2 linked regions of the Mytilus edulis genome follow. The protein of the gene in region 1 interacts with the protein of each later gene in a pairwise test. Links are inferred from orthologs where the notes say so. Each region holds a gene or a part of one and is shown in the gene's direction. Other genes may lie near its edges.

Region 1 (11,996 bases):
TATAAATTTATCTTCTGAAGAGTAGAAAATATCTTGTTGTAAACCTCTCTGATACATTATTGGCCCCCACATTTTTAGATTTATATGACCAGTTCTTCACAATAGTTGCTAAAAAGATACACAGGAACCAAGTCAAAAATCAAAAAATATAGAATGTGTCCATGGGACACATATAATGCTCCCTCATGCACATAAATTATAAAGCGTTATAACCCATGAACGATAAAAGTAATGCCAACCAAATTCAGAGTAGATTTGAATTTTATGGTAAAGGCATTGTATATAAGTTTTATGACATATGATTGAGACAAACTTAGGTTAGAGAACGGAAACAAAAAATTCAGCAATTTTTCAATTTGCAAAGGGCCATAGCTCTAGAATGGTAAAAGTTATGCCACCTAAATTCAAACTTGACTATGAAGTAATTAGCATTGTGTATAAGTTTCATGATATTTGTTGAGTAAACTAAAGTTAAGAGAACAGAAAACAAATTTTGGGAAGCAAGAACTTAAGGACGAACAAAAGAAACACATAAATATTGAAACCAAATAAAATAAGTTTGATTAGCTATATAATCTTCATTTAAATTCACTTTTTATGCCCCACCTACGATAGGGCATCCGTGTACTATGGACACATTCTTGTTTTACTTTTAATTACTTTGTCATACTGAAATAAATAAGGATACGGAAGCTGTATAGCCAAAAGTGACATAAATAGTTTCTCCAGCAATTCATAATGTTGACTGCTGTGTACTGGTGGAGATTTAACTGTATTCCCAATCATTGGCCAACCAACTGACTTCAATGTTTCTTCAAAATCACTGCAAAAAAGATGGTATCATGATAGTAACAATCTATGAGTCCACTTCTCCCAATTTCATACTATCACATGTGTATGACTTTGTATTTTTTTGTTTAACTTGCTGTGCTTATTTATTTTGCATTATTAAGGTATAAACCCAATAGGACCTGATTTTTCAAATGCAGTCAAAATGTTCATCATGACTCTTGTTAATACAATGTACGAACTAAAAGGACCAATAATTTTTTATTTGCACTCTGATTATGTCTTTCACAATTACATGTATCATTGTGAGAAAGGCAACAAGCAATTAATATTTAATTCAACTTTAAAATAACTTTAACTAGTGGTAGAAAAACATCTTTATCAATCAGATAAATTATACTTTAATCATCATGATCTACATAAATTGTTAAGAACTACCAAATAGTATATATTGTACCTTGCAAGTTTTTCATGAAGTATCTTATACCAGAATAGAATTGTGTCTTTGATGAATTTGAGGAGATGTTTACAATGGGATCCACTGTGTTTATGATAAACATGAGTCATGGTCTGAAAACTTTCCACAGCATTACTCATGACATCTGTCAACATAGCCGTCTGAATATCTGAACTAAAATATAAAATATATGACAATACGACATGTGTCATGGTCTGAAAACTTTCAACAGCATTAGTCATGACATCTGTCAACATAGCCGTCTGAATATCTGAACTAAAATATAAAATATATGACAATATGACATGTGTCATGGTCTGAAAACTTTCCACAGCATTACTAATGACATCTGTTAATATAGCCGTCTGAATATCTGAACTGAAATATAAAATATATGACAATAAGACATGTGTCATGGTCTGAAAACTTTCAACAGCATTAGTCATTACATCTGTTAACATAGCCGTCTGAATATCTGAACTAAAATATAAAATATATGACAATAAGACATGTGTCATGGTCCTAAAAACCACAGCATTGGTCATTACATCTGTTAACGTAGCCGTATGAATGTCAGAACTTAAATATAAAATATGTGACAATAAGACATGTGTCATGGTCTGAAAACTTTCCACAGCATTACTCATGACATCTGTTAATGTAGCCGTCTGAATGTCAGAACTAAAATATAAAATATTTGACAATAAGACATGTGTCATGGTCTGAAAACTTTCAACAGCATTAGTCATTACATCTGTTAACATAGCCGTCTGAATATCTGAACTAAAATATAAAATATATGACAATAAGACATGTGTCATGGTCCTAAAAACCACAGCATTGGTCATTACATCTGTTAACGTAGCCGTATGAATGTCAGAACTTAAATATAAAATATGTGACAATAAGACATGTGTCATGGTCTGAAAACTTTCCACAGCATTACTCATGACATCTGTTAATGTAGCCGTCTGAATGTCAGAACTAAAATATAAAATATTTGACAATAAGACATGTGTCATGGTCTGAAAACTTTCAACAGCATTAGTCATTACATCTGTTAACATAGCCGTCTGAATATCTGAACTAAAATATAAAATATATGACAATAAGACATGTGTCATGGTCCTAAAAACCACAGCATTGGTCATTACATCTGTTAACGTAGCCGTATGAATGTCAGAACTTAAATATAAAATATGTGACAATAAGACATGCGTCATGGTCTGAAAACTTTCCACAGCATTACTCATGACATCTGTTAATGTAGCCGTCTGAATGTCAGAACTAAAATATAAAATATTTGACAATAAGACATGTGTCATGGTCTGAAAATTTTCTACAGCACTTCTCATTACATCTTTCTGCATAGCTGTCTGAATATCAGAACTAAAATATAAATACAACATATATGATAGTTAAACTTAAATGCTTTATATGAATTAAATTTTTGTTCTCTATTACTTTTTTAGTTATTCATATATTATCTTTTTATAATAAACAAGAGTTTTCATTTCTAAGTTGATGAGACCATTACGGCACTTCATTGATAACTATAGGTTAAAATAAATATGTTAAACTGAAGCAACAAGTTGAACCAAAATTTATTACAGGAGGGGATAACAGACATACTGTCAAATAATATACTGTGGTGCTATTGTATGCAGGCATAACATGGTGCAAAAAGAAATGATAGCAGAGGTTTTATCCATCCTAATTACTCTACCAGCTTGTACCGCATGAAGGTGTCATTTCACTTGACATTCTATTTTCAACTCTTTATAGGTTATACACTGTTATATCATGGATACTTTATACATGTTAGATGACAATTAAAAATCTCTGTAGTATAACTGACCTCATTTTGTCAACCTCTTCTATCAGCTGTAGGTATGCCAGATAATACTGATACTGTTGAATTTCTGTCGTAACTTTTTCCAGTTCTTTACAAACATCCTGTTGATTTCTAACATGTTCCACGACCTGATGATGAAGGTTATCTTTACGGTGTTGTATGTTTGTCACCTCAGTCTGTGTATCATTAGCACCTTGTGTAGCATAGTCTATCTCAGTAGGCAAACTTGAACTGGCTTCATGTAACTGAAAAATAAAAGCTTTTTTGATGACATTCAGAAATTAACTTGGATGCTTAGTTTAAGAGTAGAGATTTTTGCATTATCAAACATTTGTAAACACAATGTCTCAGAAAGTCAGTGGCCTAAGTTTTTTGCACCGATTATACCAATCACTTTTAGCCTAATATTACAATGATTTAATAGGGTTCACATTTCTGTTAGTCTTTGGTTGTTGAAAAAAAATGATTCATCAATTGATGGGTTACAGATTAAGCAGGACAGAGAGCATGCAGCATTAACATGATTAATGCAGCAATAAGAAAAAAAGCCTGAAAGGACAAACATTTCACACAAAATAACACAGGCCACTATAAAACTTTAGCAATGCAAACTCCGCAATAATCAGGGAAGAACTGTAATACAACTTATGGCTATTTGTCCTCCATTATTGGACATGACACAGGTTCCTGTAAAATTTTGACGTCATATTACAAAATATCTGATGCCAAAATATCTGTTGCATCAGGCATCATCTCCTTTTAAATACGTCAAAATATAAGTGTCTTGGAAGAGAAGTAATTTGTTAAAGCTGACAAATACACGTATATGAAGCATCAGGCATTCCTTCCTATAAAAATTTGACAACATAAAAGAAATAATTTTAATCTACAGATGCAAGAATGAAACTGCAATCGTTGTTTGACATCCAAAGTTTAAAGGTCTATTGTGACAATAATGAATATACATTTTGTACATTTACTGTTTGGACAAAAATTTGAGGGCAGTCCAGTCATTTTGAAAAGGAGGGGGGGGGGGGTCAACAATATCATCATTATCATGTCCCTATTCAAAAGCATTGATCCTAAAACAGGGGGTGGTTACAACCCAGTAACAAGACATTTTGACACCAAAGTCTGAAGTAATTTTGGCATCAGTTTTCGACAATTCGGGACCAAGACAAGTCGCCACTTCATTTTTAAAAATATTATTATTAAGAAAAATAAAAGAATTGTTGCAGTAATATTAGATTTTGTAGATAAAATATGCATTACCGTAATTGGTTGTGTATAGTCCGCACTTTTTTACCTTAAATATGTAATTTGAACAAGGAATTTCTACAACCCCTGGTTCTGCCACTAATGGAAGGTCATTTTTTATACTACACTTCGTCTTGAAGACACTGACAAGTCCCTGTGGAAACCTCAATTTGGTTATTTAAACCTTCATTTCATTAAACTCTCACAAAATATACAACTATAATATTAGTAATCTACAAATGTATGTGCACAGTAGACATGTATAGAAATTAGGCATAAATGAGGGATGTAAATTATATGCCCTTTACTGACAGGCATCAAGCGGTAATTTTTTACTACCTATAGTGTCAAATTGGTTTAATTTTACTGTGATTCGTCAGATGTCTCAACAGTCAGGGGACTTACAATGTACTGAAATAAGTGATTTTTAAATCACTTATTTGAGTAGCAAATTCGAGGTTTTGTCACAAATTGGGATTTTGTAGTTTTTTCAAAATTTTAAACACATAGGTTTAAAAAATATCTTTTTATAAATTAGTAAAATTAAAAAAAATGAACTTTTTGCTTCTTTTAAGTAGAAAGGTTTATGCCTTTGATGCTATCATTTAGCTGAAAATTCTATTTTAGTTGAAAAAATGCTATAATAATGGCTTTACATAATGAACTGATATTTTCTTAAAAGATTTTTCCCAGCAGTGGGAGTATTTTTCCTGTGAAGTTCAAGGTTTTATCTTTCAGATTATCATTATGTAATAAAATTCTACTGTTCGCGATAAAAATTTCACTGTTCGGGGATGTTGAAATTAGTGGGGGTTATTATAAGAATGATACTTAAAGAAGTGATTTTTTTGAAGGAAATTGAGGTCTGATACTTAAACAAGTGATTTTTATGTCATTATCCTAGATTCAGTACAAGGTCATCACCTGAAATGACCTGGTCATCCTAGACAACACAGATGTTGGTTCTGATAAGTTTAGAAACATAATTAGTCCCTGGATCATTAGTATTCTATATTTAAAGCTACAATAAAATTAAATCACTTCTTCTAGTGATTAATTTGTACTACTTAAATAGGTGATTATTAAAGAAAGACAACTCTAACTTCCAACCTTTATGGAAATAATGTTACTTGAATCAGTGATTTAGAAAATCACTTATTTAAGTAAGTCCCCTGACTGCTTCATAAAGACTAAAGACTCAAATAGTTATCATCACCATTATTTTTGGAAAAAAAATAGCTTGATTCGTCAAATTCAGATAATTTTATCGTCTAAAAGAAAGTGTACAATTAATCGTCATGCACTAAAAATTACTGTTAACGTCATTTGGCAAGAATTTTTACCATTATCGTCGTGTCATATGTTTTCGTATGTCATATGTTTTCGTATCAACCACATTTCGTCGGTTTCGACTGCATACGCGTACATTGTGGCATGTTTTTCTGTTTCTATATTTAGAACAACAACACCACTACAACTTGATATATTTAAAACATATTCAACGTCGCTTTTTAAAGACGTTAGAACAAATTAAATAAAACTGACCTATTTAGCCATTTTTATTTAATGTCAAAAATACGCATCACTAGAATAGTTGTGGAAAAAAATTCTGAAGGGTTAAAATAAAGTCCAGATATGTTTTTTGCAAGTCAGACACCGGATCTTCAAGACGTATGACTGTCATGTGTTTTTTTGGCCGTTTTAATTACAAACCATCGAGTTAAAATTAGCAGGGTTCTTATATAAAATGGTTGTTCAAAATCTAACTATTCAATATTTCATTGACAATTTTTTTTATACATCCTTGATACATGAAGATGAAAACAGTCTTAACTTTTTATATTTAATCATAAATTTTGAAAACTGCATTTTATTTTAGAAAAAATAATGTATTTTGTACAAACCAGGTGCCAATCTGAAATTAATCAAAATCCGTAAAAATTTCATCACACGAAACACCAACCTTACACTTTTTACTAGTAATTTTTTGTACTGAAAAGTATTTAATAACTTTTTTTAAGATTTAAGCGATCACCCGAACCACGACTTTAGAAAAAATGTATTTCCGGATTTTGTAGTCATTTCCTGTCCGTGTACTGATCCAATTTTTATTTCATACGAAAACATATGACGCCGTTTTTTTGACATACAAAAATCGCAAAGTAATCGGAAACAGTAAAAAATCGTAGAAATCATTGACAAAAAAACTAGATACCTAAAATCAATCTACAGGACATGCTTTTTAAATTTGAGTAAACACCTAAATAAAAACTCAACAGTAAAAACCGTAAGCAGTGAAAATTGTTATTAGTACGAAAACACATTACACGATGATATACGTCATGAAGGTACCCCCATTACTACCCTCATAAATGTTTCAACAGTTCAAAAACAGAGCAAAATGAAATTGCTCATCCTCATTCCTGTGGGAAGCAGGACAAATCGCCACACTAGCAAAACGCCCAACACCAAATCGCCACACTTTTTCACAAACTCGCGATTTGCCAGTGGGGCGATTTGTCATGGATTCATTCATGTGTACTGTTCCTATGACTTAAGGCATTAATTACTTGTTGTCCTAATGACTCAACAGTTTCTTTTATATTTTTATGAACATCTTTTAAATCTGATAGAGTCTTTATATTTTGGTTCAAGTATTCTGTAACGTGGACATTCTTCTCTGATTTTGCCATCTGTGAAGAAAGGGATTGTTTACATAGTTGCTTCCCTTAGAAAAAAATAGTTGACATACATCGTACAAACGCTTGACGCGAAGGTGTTAGATTAATGTAAAGCGTCTAATTGATCTGTTCACGTGACATAGTTTTTCCAGCGGTAAGTTTCGTGAAATGAGAAAGGATTTTTCTTTAAAACCATTTACTCTTTTGAATGACACATAAAACTGTAAAAGTACCCTCACATATTTGTACGATTTTATATATACAACTGTTATCTTTGAATAGATTCTATTTTTTCGTGTTATCTTCGTTAAAACAAGAAAATCATGAATGGTTCTTTGCCTAAATGGAAACAGGATATCCAAGTTATTCTTTCTAATCCGTGGAGTAACTATTTCAATGACATGCTATTGAAAACAAAGCTGAATGATAAACATTTGAATTACCACAACCCCTTCAGACTAAATCCCTTTTTCCTGGTTAAGGCCCCATCCTGCATCCCAGACTCAAATTGTTCAATGATTGTTAATAATTTTAACCTTATCAATTGGGTTTTATTGTAAATACTGTATGTAACCAAAGGGGACTAGATTTGTAATGTGACCATAGGTAGGCCCACAGAGTTTAAGCTTACTGTAGACTGTTAGAAACAAAACTCAATTATAAGGAAGAAGATTCTTATTAGACTACCGACTAGTCTATTTTTATAGACCAAATAATTTACTTCTCTGAGTTACTTAATCTTTTGACAAGATAACTAAGAAGTGACTAGTCTGTGTGACTTTTTCCCAAAATTGAAACTGTAATTTGAAGTAAAATCATGCTTCCAATTTGCTGTTGGTAAAAAAATCAATTGTTTTCCAATAATTTTGTCATATAAAAAAGAAATTACTGTTACAATGTAGTTTAATTTTTCACCAAAGTGTCATCCAAAGAAATGGAATCATGAGACATTAATTTTTTGCACACAGCACCAGTGACCTATACTGCTATCCCTGCTCTGGGGTGGATCCAGCCATTTTGAACATTTCATTGTTGTAAAAACATCTAAAGGGCACCTGCCACCCTCACTGGTAGAGATATAAAAGGCTGATTATTGTTATATAAACAAATTTTGTGTTATAATCTTAATAGTTAAGGATGTAAATGTAAATGTAATTATGCTTAAATTGTATAAACACATACATGTATTAGTAATTGACAAAACTTGTCAAGGTCATTTTTGCTGAAAAGTAAAGTTTTACAAAATCATAAACAGTTTGACTTAGCTTTAACATTTGTGATTAAAGGGAGTACTGACTGGTACCTTTCCAAAATTGCATCCCTATTTTTGAAGATGTTTTTGAAGGAATTTATATAGATTTCCAACATGTCCAAAAATAAAAGGAAAACAATTTTGTTTTGTACCCTGCAATATAAACATTATATTGAATAGCTGGAGGCATGTTAAAAAAAAATGAGACACTATTTTTGTGAATGGTGATAATTAAAGCCATTGCTTTAATTAATAAACCAATTATTATAAACATTTGACTTGAATATTTTTTTCTTCATTCAAGTTGTATTATTTGGCAGCTAATGAGTTATATTTTACTAATTGATCATGATATAAAACATTATCCAAAACTTTAGAAAAAGTAATGTTTATACTTAAAAGAGGTTTATAAAGAAGAATTAAAATCCATTTTGGAGTTTCTAAGTATTTAATCTTTTAAGACTTTGTTGGAGTAATAAAAGTCAGACTCTAATATAAGTATCTCATACCTTTACTTTTTAAATTAGAGACGCATGTTAGGGTTCCTGTTGAAGGTGGTTGATATTTGAAGAGAAAAAAGGTAGAGTTTGCTTTAGATGTTCTATTTTAATATATGGTTAAAAAGAAACAAAAAGGGCATTTTCTTTTAATTTAAACTTTCATTTTCTTTCGTTGAATAAAAATTTCTATAAAAAAAAAAATTGTACAGATAAATAACGATAATATTTATTTAAAACTATTCCATTTCTTCAATAATTTATAACTGCAAATAGAATTACTTTTAATCTTATGGACTACACATAATAATTTCAAAGGAGAAATAAACAAATATACTAAATTGTTTTAACAGTAGACATGTAGAAATAGGAATAAAAATAAAATAAAATAAAGAAATACAAAAGGACCTTTTAGGAGTGAAACTGGGTAACTATTTATAGAGACTGAATGATATTCTTTGGCTTTATATTAATTAAAACCTTGTGGTAAAACAATACAATTTGTTTTATGTTTGATGTTGCATATAAGTTATTTATTAATGACTACCTGTATGTGGTTGGTTAGAATACATTTCTCAAAATAAGGTTTAGGGCTTTTCAAGTGTTTACAATTTGATCACCTGTTTAAAGTATACAAATTTCTAAAACAGTGCCCTCAAAATGGAACATCCTGTGGTTGGCTCCTATTTTGCATGTTGTAATGTTTTCTTTCATAAATTACTTGAAACACAAATTTGCTCAAACTAATGGTAGTCTACATATAGTTATGTTTAGGATCTATAGATGTTTTCTACATGTACAATGTATTATGTTTATGAGGAATGATTTACACATCTTTATATTATAATTCTCCGATCTTTCAAACCAAACAGGCAATTATGTTCAGGTGCATTTCTTTTAGTAGAAAAGCTACTTGTTTATTTATGTCTTCTTTTGATGAGTGAACAAACTTATTACTGTGACTTGAACGAATAGCAATTTGTTTTATCAAATCAAACTTCAACTTGTTAGAAATTTTTTCCAACTGCTAATGGGAAATACAGTTCAGTGGCCAAAGAACAAAGCTGCCAAATTCAACCGAAAAGACTAAAGAAAATTTGTTCTCTGTTGACCATTCAAATTCATGATTTACCTACATCCACAACATGAAGGAAAATTTGTAATTCATGTAACCAATTTCAATATTTATCAATAAATTTGTATGTATTTTACTTTTGCAGTTGAACTAATAAGATGTCTGGCATAGCTGTAGGAAGACTGAGTGAAGAAAGAAAAGCTTGGAGGAAAGATCACCCATTTGTAAGTCAAACTATTATATATTATTATAGACTAAAAACAAGAAAATTATTTCATAGAATTACATTAATGTCATTGAGTTCCTTGTTGTATTGTTCAAGAAGTATTGTAAATAAAAAAGTGCACTGTATTTGTCATTTTAATATTCCTGTAACAAATATTCTGTAGGATTTAATTTATTTTGAGGGAGAGTATGTTGTTATATTATTTTCCTTTGCAGGGTTTTGTAGCCAGACCAACCAAAAATCCAGATGGAACATTAAATTTATTGAATTGGGAATGTGCAATACCAGGCAAGAAAGGGGTAAATAATGATTTCATATATTTTTTGGAAAGATTGGAAGCCAGGATAACCACTAAATATATAAACACTGAAATTTGGTTCCCAATACTCTCATGACTCTTGTATATATATATATATATATATGTAAATATGCACAGATGAACTGTAAAGCATTTTTCAAGTACTTTTTTTTAGTTTTGTCAATATGCTTACTAGTTTTATCTTTCTAACCCAGACTAGGTCAAACCAAATACATGTAGTTGAAAATTGATATTTGAAGCTTTTATGCTTAGTACATTGCATTTAGGAGTAGGAGCTATGACTGGTCAGAATAATGATTCTTTGTTGTATTAAATGTATTCCTGAGGACTGAAACCTTGTTACCTACCTTGTTTAAAAACCAGCTCATTATTGTACCTAAATCCCCAGTCCCACTAGACAACGATCGAACCACGCTCACCGCGATCTAAAATAAATTCAGATTGTGGTGAGGTCGCGGTATGAGCGGCATAAAAATGTAATTTTTCGTTGCTTTCACAATGCTACTACATCCTCATTACCCTTCTACAACAATCCCGCTACGATTATACCACGTTCTCATTGCGCTTATCCTGCAACCTCACTACACTTATCAAGATCTTTCGACGCTCATCACGTTCCCACTACGACCATATCACGAGTTATCCGATTGCACCACGCTTCTACTGCGATTGTGGCATGCTCTACCACGATTATAATACGTTTATACCGCAATCTTACTACGCTCTCAGTTCTCAGCAATAACGTCAACATGGTGTTTCATATATACAGTTCCATTCCTTCTATTTCTGATTAATACGTAGATTTCTTAAAAACAATACAGTCATGCCACCAAAATCTACTAGAACACGTGGCCGTGGTGGTAAGGGTTGATGTAGAGGCAAAGGGTCACCTTAAAGTAACAGATCCTGATCCAGAAGAGATGTCGGACCAACCAATCCAACCTGAATTACAACCTATTGCTGGTCCATCAAGTTCAAATAACGATATTTTAGTGAACGATAACAGAGATGACACAGATGTGTCAATAGATATAGGAAGATGTGGTATGAGTGTTAATGAGACAACTCTCCATCCAAGTAACAATTTAAAAAAGTAAACCATTATAGTTCAAGGTACGGCCTTCAACACGGAACCTTGGCTCACACCGAACAGCAAGCTATGAAGGGTCCAAAAATTACTAGTGTAAAACTATTCAAACAAGAAAACCAACAGTCTAATCTATATAAAAATGAGAAGCATGGTTGAGCCGTTAGAGAAATTCAAAATGACAAGAAAATGACAATGAGAATGATAGTCGTAGTATGAACGTAGTGTGGTTGTAAGAAGAGTGTGATGAGGACGACAAGGGCGTGCTAGAATGGTATTGTGGTTTTGAACAGCTTGGTGGAAACGTGGTATGGTTGTAGTTGAAGTGTGCTTGGGTCGTGGTGAGAAAGTGATGGTCGTAGTGAGGTCGTAATAACGTCTCTGTGATATCGTAGCGGAGTCTCTCTGAATAGAAATTCGCTACGAAGGTACAGCGACCTTTGAGATCTTTGACCTGATTTCACTGCGACCGCACCACGATTGTTTTGAACATGTTCAAAG
Region 2 (11,155 bases), on another chromosome or scaffold:
ACAAACTATCAAACAACCTGGCATTCTGTAAGATTAATATATAAATGAGAAAGCTGTATAGTTATATGAAAATCTAAGTTGATTTGAAAAAGTTAAAAAAAAAATTAAAGGTGACCATCCAAATTTGGTCTAAACTTAAAATTGCAGCTTTTTTTTTAAGCTATTAACTAAATCCATAAAAATGAAAGCAAAAAAACAAAGTACTAAACAGCCTGGCATTCAGTAAGATCAATATAAAAATGATATAGCAGTAGAGTTTTATGAAAATGCAAGTTGATTTGAAAAAGTTATAAAAAAAATTAAAGTTGACTATCTGAATTTAGCCTAAAATGAAAATTTGAGCTTTTTTTCTTACCTATTAGTTAAATCCATAAATTTAACAGCAAAACACCTAACTACCAAACAACCTGGTTTCCTATAAGATCAATATATTAATGAGTTAGCTGTAGAGTTTTATGAAAATCCAAGTTGATTTGAAAAAGTTACAAAAAAAATTAAAGTTGACTATCTGAATTTATCCATTACTAAAAATTTGAGCTTTTTTTCTTACCTATTAATTAAATCCACAAATTTAACACCAAAACACCAAACTATCAAACAACTTGGTATTCTATAAGGTCAAAATAATTTATAAGATAGTCCGAACAGAAAATTCTAGCTTTTTTATTCCTTAATTAAATCCTTAAAGTTGACAGAAATGAACCAAGCTACCAGTTTTTGAGACATGTTTTGAGAGCCCGCAAAAGAAATTTCCTACACACCGATAAAATTGATAGAAAATTTTCCTATAAAATATGTTCTGGCCCATCCACTAAATATTTTAAAAAAAGTTCTCGCCCATCCAAATATTTCCACAAAAAAAGTGCTTGCCCCGCCCCATTTTGCACCGGCCCATCCATCTGATAAATATTGAACGGTCCCTAAGATTGTCATCCTATCTGATTGTCTTCACGTTTTAAAAGTAAAAAAGCAAACGAGTTAATGACCCTCGGACGCCTGTACCAAGTCAGGAATATGACAGTTCTTGTCCATTCGTTTTTGATGCGTTTTGTTTTTTGATTTTGCCATGTGATTATGGACTTTCCAAATTGATTTTCCTCTGAGTTCAGTATTTTTGTGATTTTACTTTTTTTTGTTATCATTCAATGACCACCGGAACGTCTCTCTTGTTATCTTTGAAAAGAAACGATGCATTCTGACTTTAAACAGACAACCAATCAGTGACCTGAATTCATGTGAACTATATTTAGCCCAAGGTAAACACTGACTTTTCATCCTTGTTTATCGTGACCGCGACTTTGCGAAAATACGTCTCTCGGCTGCCTGTAAACATTTGAAAAAGATATTATTTTCTTTTTGAATTTATATTTTTGTCAGTGAAGTAGCCGGCACTTGAAGCCACCGCAAACGGCGGATTTCCGCCGGCTACCGGCTTCAATGGAAAGCCCTGCATGCATGTTGTATGTTGTATTTTTTTGTCAATTAAAAACTTTAAAATTGCAATAGTTTTATTAGCATTTAAACACAGCCAGATTTGAATACAAGTTAAGAAATTCCGGTAAAGTCAATGATATCAAACAGATGTACAATGGTATATCAAATTGGGTAATATTGCATTTAGTTTTTATAAAAGATTAAAACTACTATTTTTTGCTTCATATTTGAATCTTTACGCCAATTGCCGTTAAGAAAGTAATCAAAAATTGTTTCCTTTTATTTTTATACACTTTCGGAATTACGAATCTGAATTTTATTTTCAATTAATCTACACAATTTAATTATTGTATCTTTATTCTCATCGTGTATTAAATCTTAGTGTACTAACATCGTGACAGCATACGCTTTCTAATCCTTTCTGTTTATCCTTTCCAAATAACAACATTTATACCTGTGTACGCTTGAACTCACACCTGCGGCTAAATAGCTACAAGGTAAACGAATTGACCTCAAGCCGAGAAATATACAGTGACATTTACAAAATAATATACATGTTCCAGACCATATGAGTATTCGGACCGTACGCGTACGGTCCGGACCGTATACGTATACTCGTACGGTCCGACCATACGCGTACGGTCGGACCGTATGAGTATACGCGTACGGTCCAGCTACCCATGCATGTTTTGAGATCATATGGGTTAAATTTAAACAAAAATTTATCAAAATCTGTCTTATTAGTTATACAAATTGTTATTATTACAATTAGATGGATAAAGTGAATAAGCGAACAATTGAAATTAAATATTTGTTTAACTGTATATCTGAATCATATTTTGTTACTCTGGCACAAGGTGACACTTGTTCAGTACCATAAGGAACGTCATAATTTTTTTTACAATGACGTGTTTTGTTCATGTATGTTTCTTGGCATAAGCATTTTTTTTTTTAAAGTTCCTAATTTTTTTTTAAACAATTGTCCTCCCACATTATGTTTACTTCCGATAACTTCAATTTCAATGAGCATACTGGGCTGCAATTAATGAATTACTGACATGCTAAATACAGGAGATTAACAGATTAAATAAGCGTGATTTGTTTAAATAGATAAAAAATATTAAGTTTTTATTTCATTTATTATTGAACTTTTTATATCAATTTTAGATATAAGTCATGTTGATCTGTTATATACATTTGCATCTAATAATCTTGACAAACTTCTTAATATAAGCTAGACCGTACGCGTACGGTCCAAATACTCATACGGTCTGGAACATACACACTCTGCTCACACATTAGTTGCATTGAAATGATTATCAAAACAATAACGGTAAATAGAACTGAAATATTTTCAGTTCAATATCAGTAACAATGTTCAATAAATATTTTATGAAAAAAAATCTCAACAATAATTAATTAAATTTATTCTAAAACATTTACTAGAGATAATTTTATAGGAGTTTGATTCAATCAATACAAAACGGTATATGCACATTCATTTTCGTTCATTCTTATATATATTGTGGTTAATAACTTCGACCATTCGTCAGCTGTGCGCTTTTAATTACGTATATTGTCGATAAGCTATAAGAGTTAAACAGATTTTATTTTTTCCCAGAATTCAATAAATTGGGCTAATACGTCACGACCCACTCGAGAATTCAACCAAAAAAGTTACAAATACTTGATTTTCTCCGTTATTAGAAGGAATATAAATTTAAAACTTTGCAAATGTGTTTTTTATGTTAAGATGAACATAATTAGATGATAAGTAAAAAATCGCGAACTTTCCCTTTAAAAAAAATAAGACATTCCGCTAACGTCAGAGAGTTTTGTGAATATCAACTATATGGTCATTTTTATATATTTCCTGTTTACAAAATTATGAATTTTTCGAAATACTAAGGATTTTCCTATCACAGGCATAGATGACCTTAGCCGTATTTGGCATAACCTTTTGGAGTTTTGAGTCCCCAATGTTCTTCAACTTTGTACATCTTTGGCTTTATAACTGTTTTGATTTGAGCGTCACTGATGAGTCTTGTGTAGACGAAATGCGCGCGTCTGGCGATCTAAATTATAATCCTGGTACCTTTTTATAACTACTATGAGAGTTTAATGCGTCGACTTTATCATGAATTTGACTACTGTTCCTAAATGTCTAAAGATATTACGGCAGAGCACACCTCAATTGTATACATTTCATGCATGATATGTGCCATTTGGCAATCATCTGTAGAATCCACTACTAGGGTACAGAATGATCAATCGGCCGAGTTGAGACGAATGGGTAATGTGCTAGGTGGGAATATTATTGTTTGGGTGGCTGGTAAAACTACTTTTAACATAAATTTTCAAAAACTGATATAAGTGGTTCAGACATTTGAAACGTATCTTTTTCTTGATAATCCCATTTTCAAAAGTTTGAAATACGTAGTGTCTAAACAATATGTCAAGCTGTTAATTGTCCCAAGTCTAAACAATATGTCAAGCTGTTAATTGTCCCAAGTCTTTAACAAGAATGTGTCCCTAGTACACGTATGCACCATCCGCACTTTCATTTTCTATGTTCAATTGACCGTGATAATGGGGGGAAATCTCTAATTTGGCATTAAATTTAGAAAATCATATTATAAGGAACATGTGTACTAAGTTTCAAGTTGATTGGACTTCAACTTAATCAAAAACTACCTCGACCAAATACTTTAATCTGAAGTGGGACGGACGAACGAACGGACGCACAGACCAGAAACATAATGCCCATAAATGGGGCATAACAATTCGGTTATTAGTAACTAAAATCTTCAAAATCTGCAATGAACATCAAATTAAATCAACAACAACAAAAAACCTTGATCCCACGAATGAGGCTCCTTACCTTGGGATCGGCAGGTAATAATGTTGAGAGGTTAAACTATGTTGTTCTATAGATCTCTCACATTATAAATCTCGATCAGTACTTGAACTAACAGAATATGCATAAATGAACATAAAACGGTATAGGGAAAACCTTAACTTTAAAATAATGTTCAGGTTACCAGATAAAAAAAAAAAAACACAATAACAACTTAAACAATCCTAAAGAATAATATATGTTACCAAGAACTCTATTAACTATTAAAGTACACTAATTGTTTAAGATTTGTTATTTCGGAGCCTTTTATAGATGAGTATGTGATATGGGTTTTGCTCATTGATGAAGGTCGTTCGGTGATCTATAGTTGTTAATTTTTGTGTCATTTGATCTCTTGTGGAGAGTTGTCCCATTTGGTAATCATGACACATCTTATTTTTATATTCAACTACCTAATCTCCTAATAATCCCGTCGTACGGCGTACTTTCTAATATCGTCGGTTGTACTTCATTGTAATGTGCGTACGGCACTGTCATAAATAAAGCTACATGAAGACACGATATGCGCAGAACGATTTCACTTACTGTCGTTTCAGAAGAACAAAACATTTCATCCTGCTGTAAACCACAAATTAAGCGAATTAATTCTGCAAATTTTCTTTCGAAGTATGGAACCATGTAATAAAATATCCTAGAGATCCCTACTCTTGTACACAAATTATTGTTCTGAAATATGAAAAATGTTTGTTTTGGACCGGGTTTTTTTTTGTCCCTTATTGCTACACAGCTATTTAGAATATTTATCAATATGCCCATTATAAGAACGTGTTGACGGAAAATGCGTGAAATTGTTAGCTTTATTATTCATGTTATTAATATGAACGTAACAACTTGAATTGGATGCGAAATGCCTTCTTTTTTTCAGTTCCTAGTTTAATTTAGTTTAAACATATTTTATTTGCATAAGTAGCAAAAGGGATTGGACACAAGTTATAACAACATTAGAGACGTCCTCTCCCAATATAAATATAAACACAGTTCCTGCGAATGGAATTATGATACTTCTACAGTGAAACCCATTTAGGACCATAAATATAGACCAATTTGAATCAATAACATGAATATTCACGACCTCCATTTGTGATCACAAATTTTAAAAATATTTTGGGGGTCATATATGGGCTTCCGTACTTAGTTTACCCAAATGCCTCTATCCATACTTTGATCTGCCACTACATTATGTACAATTAAGAGAGATAATACAACCCATGTATCGATTTACATCAGGTTTGGGTTCATGGTTTTGTTGGAAGGTGTTAAATTATTTTTTCTAATTATTATTATATTTTTTATATTTTTTTTATTTTATTTTTTTTGGGGGGGACCTTTGGATTAATATTTAGTGTTGTTAACCGTATTTATTTTGTTTTCCATTTTGGTGGTGGGAGGGGGGTGGGGGTGGGGGCGAAAAGGGTGAGACTTACGGACGTTTGTTGATTTATCAATGTTGTAACAAATCTGGGTTTATCGACAAGAACATGAACGACATATTTGCGTTACATTGTCAATCAGAAACTGCAACTGTTGCTGATTTTGATACTTTTTATATTTTATAGATATAATTCACAATGAAAACATGAATACCCAGTATATTGTTAGTGTATTCTGAAGAAATAAATGACATATTGTCCTCATTAATAAATTAGTATTTCAAGAAGTTTAACGCACAAGACAGATAAATGAAAGTATAGCCCGGTGACATTTTTGTCGTTTATAAATAACTAATGAATGTATTGTGCCAAACTAAATTGAACACAGCATCTGTTTGGTTGCTATGGATCTCTGCCTGAGGCAAAGTTTCTTCATTTAAACGTGACCTATATGTAACTATGAAGCCTATAGCATAATGTAGAAAAAGCCGCGTTAATACGATTTTGCCTTGGGGTATAATACCCGCCAGTTCAATGCCGACGCCGGTAAAAGCTCATTTAAATGAAGAAGGCGGATCTGAGAAGCTTTAGAAAATTTTAGTGGTATATACATGTTACAATAACAGGGGAAATTTAGTGAAGAAAGCATATATTTCAGGTAAAGTTATATTTGTTATACATTCATGATTCATTGATCTTTTAGTTTATTGGTATTTCATGTTATTGTGTGTAGATAATCCATTACGCTGTGAAACTTGATTAATTAATTATAGCTTATACAATTTTCATATTTCTTTTTTAATAGAAAACAATAAATCAAATCTATCGTTGGTTTAACAGGGGATCATACATTGATAGTAAAATGTTGTATATATATCTCACTGATGCAAAATCACCACTGTCCTTACAACTTTAATAGGAAATCAACAGTTCCCTAATAAGGAACCAAGTTTTCGTTGTTTTATCATCAAAATAACCAAAAGAAATTTTGTTAACGATTATTTACATGTATTTATGTATTTTCAAATCGACCAGTTTATTATTTCCCACAGAGTGTCCCTCTTTGTCAATGAATAAATCTACCCGCAGGCTATTTGTCAAATTATAATGGTATTTATAAATGTCAATATTTAAGTGTTATAGCTTTATTTGTAATTTGAATATTCATGTTTAAACACATAAGTGACAAAAATCTCTTGTTATTGATAATTCTCTAGATAATGATTCAGTTAATAAATATAAAATCATATGTTCTTAAAATATTTCAGATTATTTATTTTCATATCATACTTAAAATTTAAGTCCTTAATTATTGCTCGAAGCATATATACATGTATATGATTAGTACTATAGCTGTTACATCATTGCCTCTTGCCTTTAAATACTTTTACACCTCATGTCCGCTACTCTCGTGTCAGGATTAACATTCCGTCCAATTACCCACAATGGAACATCATCCGTAGAGTGATTCATTCCTGGTATAGACTATACATTCAAACTTTTAGGATGGAAACATTTTTAAAACTGTTTTTTTTTTTTTACTATAGACGAATGTAGTTGAATGCATTGGTGATTTTAATTTAGTAAGAAACGGAAACACAACCATTTAGAACATGTCAGTTTGTAGTGTACAACGCACATTCAACCTGAAAAGATATCCGATTAAGATTTGTTAAGAAATATACTAAGCTGTACAATTCAAATATTCTGGTATGAAATAAATTTATGTTGGCACAAAAATGTTTTGTTTTACTCTCTCTATCTTTCATGAGGGTTCCTTTGCGAGGAATGGTTCGTAATCGTATCCCAAACAAATAAAAGTTATGTCATGGTCAGGTTATCGCGTCTATCTTAACTTTCGTCTTATCATCAGTTCACCTTCTGGATGCCATCAATTCATAATTTACCATGATAACTAGTCCTTACTTGTATCGTAAGAGTTGCACGAAAAACGTTTTCCTCTTACAAATATTTCAATTGCCCTCCAACTCTTCGGTAAATAATTCATGTGATTTGTCAGTTGCAAACTCCAACCTCCACAAAGAAGTGTTTTTGTATAAAGATTAAGTTCTGTAGTTCAGAAGGCAGACTACTGTGATACTTCATATATTATACTATAGTATACAGATGTCGTACGTTCTAAAATTATGGTATCTCTTTTTCCGTTGATCTGACTTTTATGAAATACATAATCACGTAAACTTCTCAAATTTTATAACTATAATAGCGTAATTATTTGGAATCCTTGCAAGGTCTTCATGTCTGTCAAACAGGATTCCTCTGACCTCCATCTTGTTCAACGGAGCAGTGATCAAAGCTTAGATTTCGTGATTATGTCCATATATCTCAGAAACTTGAGCAATTATTATATGCTATTAATGATATATAAAATATGGGATGGTTGTAAGGTGTACATGTCCGTCAGGCAGGTTTCATCTGATCTTGACCTCATTTTCATGGTTCATTGGTCAGTGTTAAATTTTCGGGATTTGGTTCGATTTAGGTACTATAAATATATTAAGTCGACTTCAGGTGGCATACAGTTTGTATGTAATGCTTTAATGCTTGCAAAGAGTTCTTTTACGTTTGGGTTAACTGACCTTTACCTCATTTAACCTGAATAATGGATATTTGTAGTAAACCTTATGATAAAATTCAAGGACGATTACTAAAGAGGACGAGATTAAATCTATCACCACTTTTCTGCATATATGCGGAAATGTGGACACTTTGATATATGAGATATAAATGACATTTTTTTTATATTTTCATTATAGATATTGAATATTGAAACCTAATGGGCGATGACGTCTCCGGTGCCAAACCAGACATCAGCTTCGCCTAGATCACTTCACAATGGCGTTTATTCAAAGATACCGATGTCGGGAGTGCCATGTCCCGCCACCCCAACACGATATACAGCACCTGTACATATAGATGTGGGAGGTGTCATCTACACAGCATCTCTAGAGACACTCACGAGGTAAGGTGGCAGATAATATCAAAATAAGAAGAAGTGGTATGATTGCAAATGAGACAATTCCCCATCAAAATCACAATTTGTAAAAGTAAACCATTATAGGTCAAAGTCCGGGGTCAAAGTACGGTCTTCAACACGGAGCCTTGGCTCGTACTGACCATGAAGTATAAACGGCCCCAAAAATAACTAATGTAAAACAATTCAAACGGGAAAACCAACGATCTCATCTACATAAAAAACGATAAGTTCATTTTGAACAGTCCAGACGGTTCTATAACCCTCACAGTCATTTGTTTCATCCGATGATCAAAACCTCCATCCTATTGTTTCCACAAAAGAAGAAGGAGAGGCCTTTGTCATTGCTGGAAACATGTGACAGTGATATTCTTCCTGTAAGATTCACTAGTCTATCCCTAATAAAGAAACAAGTAAAGAGTATACAGACGTTAAACGGTTCACATGATATACAGTCACGGAAGCTTTTGGATAAAACTTACATTTTGCAATTGAATTCATTGCAAAAAAGTTAAACAAAAACAAAATAGTCATAATTTAGAAGAAAAAACAACAGATGATGCTGGTACACAGGGAATAATAATCAGCACCAGCAGGCCATGTGTCGTTTATCTTAGCATCGATATTGTAACCGTAGAACTGAGGTTACGAAGATATGGCTCTTGGGGATGCATTATTTAGTACGTGTTTCTTAAATCTAAAAGTACGATGACTATTGTCAAACTTGGAGAATGAAAATTTCATAATACCTGCAATTTATATAACTGTGAAATATGCTATAAAATGTAAAAACAGGCCACTGATGCTATCCTTAATCGATAGATTTTTTCAGATATGAAAGACAAATAATTACCAGATCACAAGTTGGATTTCAAATAAAAACCTATATTGAAAACAACTCTTATGCAGTTTTTGTTTATGATTATGTTAATGTGTATGTGATGTATAAAGAAGCCTCTGAGTTATAGTAAAGTCTGGTAATAAGAAGCATCATCGGCATGTTCTGACCCTTTTCTTCTTAAGATACGAAAATTGATCAACTTTTAACGATTTATTTTTGCAGCACATGTCTTAGGAATTTTTTAGTTAATAATATCTTACCCTCCCTTTTTTTGTTAATTTTTAATTTTGATCATTTTATACAAGCTGTTTTATATATTAATCCGATAAGAATTTTTAATGTTGTCAGTGCAAGTGTGGTTATGTTATTATGTTAATTGGCTAATATTAGATTTACCTTAACATAATGCAGTCACACCCTTCTTTCTTAACACATAAAACATAACTTATTATTTGAGTCGAGCAAGCAGTGTAAAGTTATCCCTAAAACTTTTTAAAGTGCTCCACTTAAAAAAAATATATATACCTTTTCCTTTAATTTGTACTGAATTAACGGAAGAAAAAAAATATAGACAAATGCAGAAAACATTCATCTTATAGTTGTCACAATAGAAAATATACATATAATTTCATAACAGAATCATGGAGAGGGTGGTATACTTCATTCACAATGTTTGTCCATTCGTGTGTTCGTCTGTCTGTCTATCTATTCGTTCGTCAGACCGTTACATTCTATTACATTAAGCAGCGTTTATAAATTTGAATGAGTTGGTGCTTGGTCAAGAACTTTACTCTGTTCAGTTATTTTTTTTTACCAGACAGTCATGAACTCACCGTTTGATGTCCCCTTGATTTTTTTTTATACAAAATGGCCATGTATGTTTTCGTCTATGCATCAGTCGTCAAGTGAACGAATGCGAGTATATAATTTACGACAGCAGTATTATGTAACTTTTTTTGTTTCTTAAACATTAATCTACCACGTTTCTTATTAAAAGTCAGCATGATTTTAATGGGTAACAGGTAACAATTATGATTATCAAAATATTTAATATGTGGTGAGGTAATATGCATAGTGAATGCACGACAGTGCTAGATGAACGAGGCAACATTTTATAAAATATAACAAATGACAATGCCTGTGGTGTAATTTTTTACCAACGATTTTTATACTTTTATAATAAGAGTATTGTTTGATATGAAATTAAGATGGATTGCTATTTGTGGCAAATGTAACATGCACATCATGGTGAGAACAGGGTAAAGTTATTTGCATTTTAATCCTACTTTGTACTGAGCCATAGTTTAACGTGCTAGTTCACAAGGAAACAGTTTTCAGGAAGAAATGTAAGACGTTAAGCACGTTATTCAGTCTTTTTGTTTAATTTGACCATTTCTTGATGCATAAGTAGTTAACTTACAATGTTGTATTCCGGACATCATATTTTGAATGTCATACTGGTAATCATTCTACTTTATTGTAGCTATTGCTCGTAAATGGTAATTTTAATAATATTAGTGATTTTGGATGTTCAAATGGATGTTCGAAGAAAGAAACTGACAATTATAATATAAAAACATAATATGCCAGGAAAGATA

What was found. The genes of interacting proteins can lie anywhere in the genome.
Region 2: the proteins of SUMO-conjugating enzyme UBC9-B (region 1) and BTB/POZ domain-containing protein kctd15-like interact in a two-hybrid assay, tested with the Drosophila melanogaster proteins (2 studies listed by BioGRID). The link is inferred for Mytilus edulis from reciprocal best matches to the Drosophila melanogaster genes lwr and twz.

Annotation. Positions count from the first base shown.
Region 1 is NC_092352.1:32,415,486-32,427,481, reverse strand, and holds the start of SUMO-conjugating enzyme UBC9-B, read left to right. Parts: upstream 1-7,120; 5' UTR 7,121-7,193; exon of another isoform or gene 7,194-7,284; intron 7,285-8,822; exon of another isoform or gene 8,823-8,871; intron 8,872-10,008; 5' UTR 10,009-10,021; coding exon 10,022-10,087; intron 10,088-10,304; coding exon 10,305-10,388; intron 10,389-11,996. Other genes in the region: RAD50-interacting protein 1-like, read right to left, coding at 689-823, 1,247-1,420, 3,105-3,346, 6,929-7,051.
Region 2 is NC_092348.1:19,366,755-19,377,909, forward strand, and holds the start of BTB/POZ domain-containing protein kctd15-like, read left to right. Parts: upstream 1-6,148; 5' UTR 6,149-6,379; intron 6,380-8,498; 5' UTR 8,499-8,525; coding exon 8,526-8,704; intron 8,705-11,155. UniProt on the Drosophila melanogaster protein: Functions with the transcription factor TfAP-2 to regulate octopamine neuronal signaling pathways that control behaviors such as male aggression, male mating, and the initiation of feeding.